Linked DNA regions of Zea mays. Each later gene encodes a partner of the first gene's protein in a complex. Links are inferred from orthologs where the notes say so. Each region holds a gene or a part of one and is shown in the gene's direction. Other genes may lie near its edges. The genes, in order: Sister chromatid cohesion 1 protein 3-like and absence of first division 1.

Region 1 (4,133 bases):
ATATCGCCCTCCCTTTATTTGGTGTACTAGTGTAAGGTGCTCTCCAACTACGTCCTCTCTTTCACCCCATCGCGAGGGTGAGAATGTTTGCTCACTATGTACATGAGGATTTCAAAGCTCCCCTTTTCATTAATGAATGCTCTTAATGGATAAATTAATTATTTTCAATTTTAATTACCATATAACAATGTGTATTATGTTATTACAAATATTGTATAGTTTTTTGAACTCCAGAAATGATGTATAAAAGTCAAATACTTCAGTTAAAGTGTAAAGAGGACGTGAATAAGGGAAATGGTTGGAGAAGAGAAAAAAATAGGGGATGAATGAAATAAGAGAAAGTATTGAAAAATCTCTTACCACGACTTCACCCTCCTCAAGCCCAGCGCCCGCAAAAAATAGTGCAGAACGAGCACTTGAACCCCATATAACAATGTGTATATTATGTTATTACAAAGTTTTTTGAACTCCAGAAATGATGTATAAAAGTCAAATACTTGAGTTAAAGTGTAAAGAGGAGGTGAATAAGGGAAATGGTTGGAGAAGAGAAAAAATAGGGGATGAATGAAAGAATAGAAAGTATTGAAAAATATCTACTATCTATTAAGAACCTAACGTGGGCACTGGTGCTACCACGACTTCACCCTCCTCAAGCCCAGCGCTCGCAAAAAATAGTGCAGAACAAGCACTTGAACACATACCCCTCTACTCTAGAAATTTGTGACTAACCACTATACCATACATACCTTAGTGTTTACAAAACAAAAAATATATTTGTAGTTTAGACGTCGCTCCCCACGCTCCTACGCCTCGTGGCAACGTATGGACACATACCTAATGAATAAATAATAAGAATAGAGAGAGAAGTAGACGTGGTAATGTATTCATAATATGATATGACCCTTAATAAAGTTTAGTTAAAAAATGAATGGTAATATAACCTGGTTTTAGTCTGATGTGACACTTAAATTTTATAGTATAAAATTTAGAATTCATTATCACCCCTAATGAGAAGAGACAAGAATGATTAGACTATCTTTAGCAGCTTACCTGTCCTCATATACATATTCAAACTTCACTCTATTAATATTATAATTTACAGTGTAAAATAATGTTTTAGATGACCAGATACGTAAATTGTTAGACATAGTCTTAGGATAATCCATAGCCTGCAAATGTTGTTTGCACACCCATTGCGTCACTACTTCCGAAAACCGCGCGCCAAAAGCTCCCTTCCCGCCTCCTCACCCTTTGGAATTTGGAAACTGCCCTTCCCGGCTTCCCCAAAAAGCATTTCCCCAACAAAAACAAGTTCGCAAACCCAGCACCTCGTATCCTCCCGTCGCCGCCTCGCCTTCCCCTGCGCTACCACCGCCGCTATCTGAACCCCAGCGCCTATCCGGTGAGCCGGAGGGGACCGCCGAGGATGTTTTACTCGCACACGATCCTCGCGCGGAAGAGCCCGCTGGGCACCGTGTGGATCGCCGCCCACCTCGAGCGCAAGATCAAGAAGCCGCAGATCGATGGCATCGACATCCCCACCTACGCAGGTCCGTCGGCTCCGCCCTCGCTTGCCCAAAGGCGCGTTTTTTCTTCTCTCTGTCGTCCGCCGGTAGAAAAAACTGGATCTTTTTCTCCTCCCATTCTTTTTTTTTTGGCGAGGGATTTTTGGAAGCATCTGGTGGAGGGTTAAAGGTGCGGTGTTCCCTGTGGCGCATTCGGTGCAAATGTGATGGAATCATGCGACAGAAGGTCAGTTGCGCGATAATTTGGTCCCCAACCGGCATTCTGCAAGTTAAACGGAGAAGGGGGCTTCTTTGGGTTTTAGTTCAGAACTGCGTATATGATATTCCCAATTAGGGTTCGCTGCCGGTATTTCCGTAGTGATTATGAATTTCCCGTAAGGAACGGTTATTGTCACAGTTTATGCAGAAACGCAAAAGGAAAAAGTACTTTAGCGCATAGGCTGTTTGCGCAGAAGATATGGCTTATTTATGGCCAAATATATGGCCTCAGCGTTGAGCCAGGAATGTACTTGTGAGATTATTTGGCAAACTATTGTGTCTTTTGCCTCATTTATTAGTCCTGGAACAGAACACGTGAAGTTATGCAGTGTTTGAAGTCGGCCGTGTTTGTTTGTAAGAGGTAGATCATCCTTATTTTCATTTAGTTGGACTGACGACTAAGGACAATTGGCAAAATCTTTGTGATTTGGTGAGCCCTAGGTTGGGCGTTTGGAAGAGTGGATGTGATTGAGTGATTTGTCTGTTGTGGTTGCTGCAAGTTAGCACCTCTCATTTCACTCTATTGTTTTGGATTTATTCTATAATGACCATCTCCAGTTCTAATTTCCTTAGAAAAGATGTTTCTTAGTATGTTTTGTATCTATATGTACCCTCTTGATTCTATACTACATTTAGGATTTCTGATGTCTTTTCGCTGTGATTTATTCTGTAAATCCTTCCCTAGTCTTCTAATGAATATCTTTTGCCTTTCCAGAAAGTATAATGTTCCCTGAAGTTCCAATTGCTCTAAGATTATCAGGGCATCTTCTTCTAGGTCTAGTTCGCATTTATTCATGGAAGGTGCAATATCTGTTTCAAGATTGTAATCGAATGCTAACTACAATGAGAACTTCATTCGCTTCTGTCCAAGTCGATCTTCCAATTGATGCAGACTGTGCTCCATTTGAGTCCATTACACTACCATCAACACTAAATCTTGACGCCTTGAACTTGGATGACGCAATTTCTCTGATGGAGTAAGTAATGATGTTCTTCATCATTGTTTTATATCATGCAATGCAAATGCTACCTATGTAATTTTCTTCTTAAACTTTGTGCAGTACGCCAGATAATCATCAGAAGACTCTTGATCAGATTACCTTGCCTGGTAAAGAAAGTTCACGATAGTGAATACTTGTTTATTCTTTTTTGAAGCAACCACCTGAGTCGAACCCCTAACTTAGTTTTTATTTTGATCGATAAACAATGTTCAACCATCAGAAGGAGAATATGTGATGATAGAACTTGATGAGGTATTCATACTATCCTACTGTGTTTTTTCTCTTCTTTTTTTTCTTGTTCATTAATATTTTACTTCACTGTGCAGGATGCCAGAGTAGAGCAATCAGGTCCTGCTCCATCATTACACATGGGACCTACAGCAATCGAGGATGAGTATGTCTCTTTAATATGTTTCCTCTCTTTCCTACTTGTGGATTCATGTCTCCTTTTCAATCATGTTCAGGACGTCCCCTCCATTTCATGATGGTTTTGGAGCTAATAACGATCCTAATGAAGAAGCTCCCATAGATCGTCCCATAGGCAATTCACCAGTGAATTCCAACATAGCAAATCTGACAGATGGAGCACTAGATCCACCTGAAAAAATGCGTGAAGCTCCACATGAGTTTCCTCACCTGAAATTAACAGAGTCCATCCTTGGAAATGATGACCCCATGGATTTGGACCATGATTCTTCACCTTTTGTGCAAAACAAGGCTATCACCCCTCCAGTTATTGATGAAACAACTTCTGCTGGTCGACAAGTACCTGGGAGATCCATTTCCAATTTACGTGCACCAAACACCTTTGATGCTTTTGCAGATGATGCACCCCTAAATTTTGGTTAGTATTTGTCTTGAAACATTACGTACCTGAAGTATTTGTTTGTTTGTCCAACTCTTGACACATTTCTTTTTACTTCTCTGGTTTTAGACATTCAGTTACCTGAATTTCGGCTTGAGCCATCTCCACGTCCAGTACAAGAGAACAAGGATAATAGAAGACCAAAAGCACAAGTTAGCAATAGAAATAGGAAGAGAGGGATGAAATTTGATTACAAAATTGTGCTCTCCAATGAGTAAGTTTTAATTGAGCCTCAACTTTGGCATGCAAGATTCTTTCAATGTGGAATAATTTGGAACAATGATTAATGTGATTTCTATTTTAACAGAAAACAATTGCTTCTTGCAGTTTCAATTGTTTGTGTGAAAGGGCCTCTAGTTGAGTTGGTTAGCTGGTCTGAGTAGCACTTCTTAGGTCTTGATTTCGACTCCCCATGGGAGTGATTTTTAGTTTGGAGTTAGAAAATTTCTCTTGTCTGTTAGATCCATAGTCACAGTTTTCGGA
Region 2 (4,208 bases), on another chromosome or scaffold:
TCCCTCTTAGAAGACCGACGTCCTCATCGGTCAACCCCAAGCCAAAAACCTCCCTCTTACCCGTGACTGTATGTCTAGTGTCGTCATATTCCATGCCATTTGACCACTCTGAGCCTACATACGTCGTGCAACATATACCCAAAACCCTAGCCTACACACGTCCGTGAAACCACGAGGGTCGTCTCTGATACCATTTGTAACATCTCATCCACTGTCGGACCAGTGATACTTACTCCTGACAACCCTCTAGAACCATAAACCATCCTTACAAACCAACACGAGTCTTTTGTGCGCACTTTATCCTCACTCATACGAACTAGGGAGGATTTGTCGGTCGGGCACACATCCTAAGATTGCTCTAGACCAAGCACACTTAACCTAGATGGTTCTTTTAAGACATACTTCATAATGTAGTTATTTGTTTTGATTTATTTCTATTATTCCAACAAATTATGTAACATTTACATCCTTGCAGTGACCATAACTATAGATGCAATACAATGAACTATGGAGTTCAATGTATCTATAGGTGTTGTTCTGCTAGTGCTAAACTCTAGGGAGGTTGCGCTGTGTCCAATGTCGCTGGCCATGTCGCGTGACGTGCCTCGCGACAGGCTACTGGTAGTTCTGCGCCGAACATTGGTTGATCCACGCCTAAGACCACGCACTAAGCCGGTCTATCCGTGTTCAACATCGTAGTTCTGCACCTCTGGGATACACAACCGCCTTGTCCAACGCCATGCCCCAAGCCACCGCATACGTCGGGGCTATCAGTGTCTCCTTTCTCAGCGTGCTAACATGATACATGTTACAATCGAAGACGAGCTCGCATCGTGGCAACAAATTTTGGTGCTCCAAAGCTTTGGAAAGGTTATCCTCAACATTGTTGGGATCCATGGCGGTCTAGAATCAACCATATGAAACACTAGCGGCTAGGGTTCGGAGGAGATCATTAGGGAGGAGAAGGAGAGGTCAAGTCTAAGTTGGGCTAGGTGAGAACGATCATGGGTAGATGGATGGCAGTACCGGGTAATTTTCATCAACTTACGATTAATAGTGGGTCTTTTATTAAAAATAAGCTGATATAAGCATCTTTTGAGAAGCTTATAGGGTTATCATAATCTCAAGTACTAGATTATATAATTTTATCACATAAGTTGCTTCATACTTAGTTTGTCTATCACTAGCTTATTTACATAGAATTTAGATTATATAATACCAAACCCTAAATGACCTGAACCAAAGATACCCAGATTGCTTCACATCATTTGTGTGGCACTGTGGCTACATGAGGACGTGGGAATGGGCGAATGGCGCGGAACGACCCCCGATAGGTTTCCGATATTGCCCTCCCCACGCGCACGATTTAACCGATCCGCCCCCGTTTCTTTCTTTTTCTCCACGAGAACGAGATTACGAGACAAGAGACAAGTAGACAACCCAGCTCTCCAGCGGTCCAGCGGTCCAGCCTCTCCTAGCCGAGGCCAAAACCCCCATACCAACACACACTTCGCTTCTCGCTGCCTCCGCGGCGGCGCGCCGCTCCGCTCCGAGCCCTCTTCCTCCTCCTCCTCTGCCCGTTCGGTCGAGAATGTTCTACTCGCATCAGCTTCTCGCGCGGAAGGCGCCGCTCGGCCAGATATGGCGCGTCTGCTCCCTTGATCGCACCTCCTATGCCTCTCGTTGCGGGCTCTAATCGCGCTCGTTTCCCTTCCTTGTTCCTTGCAATGCGTTTGGTTCTATGCCTTATCCTGGCATCGACCCACAGTGATGGCCACGCTCGCGCCGATTTGGCGGTCACTAACTGCGTTTGCATTGTGGTTTCAGGATGGCGGCGACGCTCCACTCGAAGATCAACCGCAAACGGCTCGACAAGCTCGACATCATCAAAATCTGGTGGGGAAACTGGTCCCAGGGATTCGAGTTCCGCACGGTTTTGACTGCTATTTTTGTGTTTTTTTTATTTGTTTTTGCTGACTTTTGTTTGTGTGTTTCACTTTTAGTGAGGAAATTTTGAACCCCTCGGTGCCCATGGCTCTGAGGCTCTCTGGAATCCTCATGGGTGAGTTCGATTTTGCTTGCGCCACCCAAAACTGTTCCTCCCATTTTTTGGATAGTTTTTTTTTACGTTCCAATTTCCATGGTCGAAAATTCGAAATGCGTGAGCAGGTGGCGTGGTGATCGTGTACGAGAGGAAGGTGAAGCTTCTCTACAGTAAGTTTCTTCCTCCCTACATCCTACTTGATGTTGATTTTGTTTGAATTCCCAGTGTTTCATCATCCCAATTCTAAAATCGATCATGTGTTCTCTTTCTCGCAGCTGATGTCTCTCGGCTTCTGGTAAGAACTAGTTCAGGATCTGCCCGAGTGTTTTCTGTGTCCTGGTCAGTCGATTTGAATATCCTTGCGAATTCAGTTCGAGTTATACCACTAACTTCTCGTGCAGACTGAGATCAACGAGGCATGGCGGATCAAACCGGTCACAGACCCCACCGTCCTCCCCAAGGGTAAAACTCAAGCCAAGTAAGTGTGCTACCGGTCTCCTCCCTTTCTAAGCGTTTATAGATGTTACATGCTGGGGTTGAGGGGGTTCGGTTTGAGTAAGGTTGCACTGCATTCATGCTGTTGATGTTGTTATTGATGAGACTTGGTGTTTGCTTCTTAGCTTTCTTAAAACAGAGATTGTTGTGTGTGCGTTTAGGCTGTGATGTGTTCATCTGGTTGTTTGGATTGGCGAATGTTGTGATCTGGCTGAGATGTTCATGGAAGTTCTTAGGAGATAGATATGTGTTAGTTTGCTTGAACTGAATTGGTATCTGGTGCAATTTGTGTGCCGTGGGAAACGAAAATGGGATTCACAGCTACATGTTGGCGATTCCCGTGGTAGTTTGTTGTGCCTTACTCACTGGGCCCTTGTGCTTGCTGAAGCACTCACATCCACTGTCTGATACTCTGATATCTGATGTATGAGTCCCAATGATCTTCTGTCAACTGGCCTAATCACTTGCTGTTTTATTTTTTTATTTATATTTATAATTTTGACTTTTGAGATATCAGAATAGGAGGTGGATGGATTTGCATTTAGCATATTTTGGTGCAACAGTTACTTTCTCCTTCCAATATGTGAGCATCTTCGTGTCGTTGGAGTATCTTTTGGCATATTCTTTAGCGTGTCCATTTGCTAGCTATACAATACTGTACTTGAGAAATAATGCTATCTTAAAAGGGTTTTCATTACCTTTGAGAACTGGAAATGAACATCCACGGCCTTGATTAATTCTTTTGGCATTACCATTCCTATGGCTGTAGTATAACCCTTGGAAATTTACTTGAGAAATGTAATCTTTTCTTGATATAGCACATTTCGGGTTAAACTTCTATAGATAAATTTGACCTCATTACTACTAGCTCTTTCATAGCCAAACACCTAAGTCTCTCCCCTTGTGTAAATAGCATGGAGTGGATATGAACCGGTGATATGTTATGTGGGGCGCCACTTACAGGCGCAGGCCTAAGGATAAGAGACCTAGTTGAGTTTATCTAGAGATATTAGTCAAGAATATCTAGGGGTAATAGCAGATTAGAAGTTGTTGAGATTTTTTAGGAGAAGTTTAAGGAGATAGAGTCAAGCAGATAGGAGGTTGCGGCCATGCAACTGGCCTATATATGTAATGGAAAGTTATGAAATAAAGGAGGAATGAATTATCTCCAAACTGTCTTTCTTCCCTCCTAATCCGGTCTCCCTCCTTGCTGCCCAACATAGATCAGCACCCAACCGATCGTCCACGCCACATGCGAAGTCAGGGGCCGGCGCCTGCGCCCTTGCCACTTCCCCCATACCGTCGGCCACATAACATCTTGGTTTCAGGAGACCAGCCACGCACCTACCCACCACCATGTCCTCCATCCCAAGCGATCCAGTGGCTCAGGCCTTGGACGCCATCAACCAAAGGCTGGCAACCCTGGACACCCTGCACACCACTATACAGCGCCTAGAACGGCAGCAACAGGAAAGCTAGGCTGCCATTGATCGCCTTGATTAGCGCCAGCAGGAGATCATCCCTCACGGGAACCAACGTCCACGAGGCGGGCCCAATGCCAACCATGAAGACCGCCCAACCAGATTCCATCATCTGGATTTCCCACAATATGACGAGAAGACGGATCCGCTACTCTTCACCAACAAATGCGAGTCATTCTTCTTCCAGC

What was found.
Region 2: Sister chromatid cohesion 1 protein 3-like (region 1) and absence of first division 1 share a complex: the UniProt entries of both Arabidopsis thaliana proteins name them as parts of the cohesin complex. The link is inferred for Zea mays from reciprocal best matches to the Arabidopsis thaliana genes SYN3 and SYN1.

The regions. Positions count from the first base shown.
Region 1 is NC_050105.1:43,665,465-43,669,597, forward strand, and holds the start of Sister chromatid cohesion 1 protein 3-like, read left to right. Parts: upstream 1-1,333; 5' UTR 1,334-1,426; coding exon of another isoform or gene 1,427-1,550; 5' UTR 1,551-1,752; intron 1,753-2,499; coding exon of another isoform or gene 2,500-2,507; coding exon 2,508-2,761; intron 2,762-2,845; coding exon 2,846-2,892; intron 2,893-3,005; coding exon 3,006-3,037; intron 3,038-3,111; coding exon 3,112-3,179; intron 3,180-3,249; coding exon 3,250-3,629; intron 3,630-3,719; coding exon 3,720-3,864; intron 3,865-4,133. UniProt on the Arabidopsis thaliana protein: May be involved in sister chromatid cohesion during mitosis.
Region 2 is NC_050101.1:178,058,804-178,063,011, forward strand, and holds the start of absence of first division 1, read left to right. Parts: upstream 1-1,408; 5' UTR 1,409-1,591; coding exon 1,592-1,644; intron 1,645-1,827; coding exon 1,828-1,896; intron 1,897-2,003; coding exon 2,004-2,062; intron 2,063-2,169; coding exon 2,170-2,214; intron 2,215-2,319; coding exon 2,320-2,339; intron 2,340-2,445; coding exon 2,446-2,522; intron 2,523-4,208. UniProt on the Arabidopsis thaliana protein: Involved in chromosome condensation, pairing and segregation during meiosis. Responsible for cohesion between replicated sister chromatids.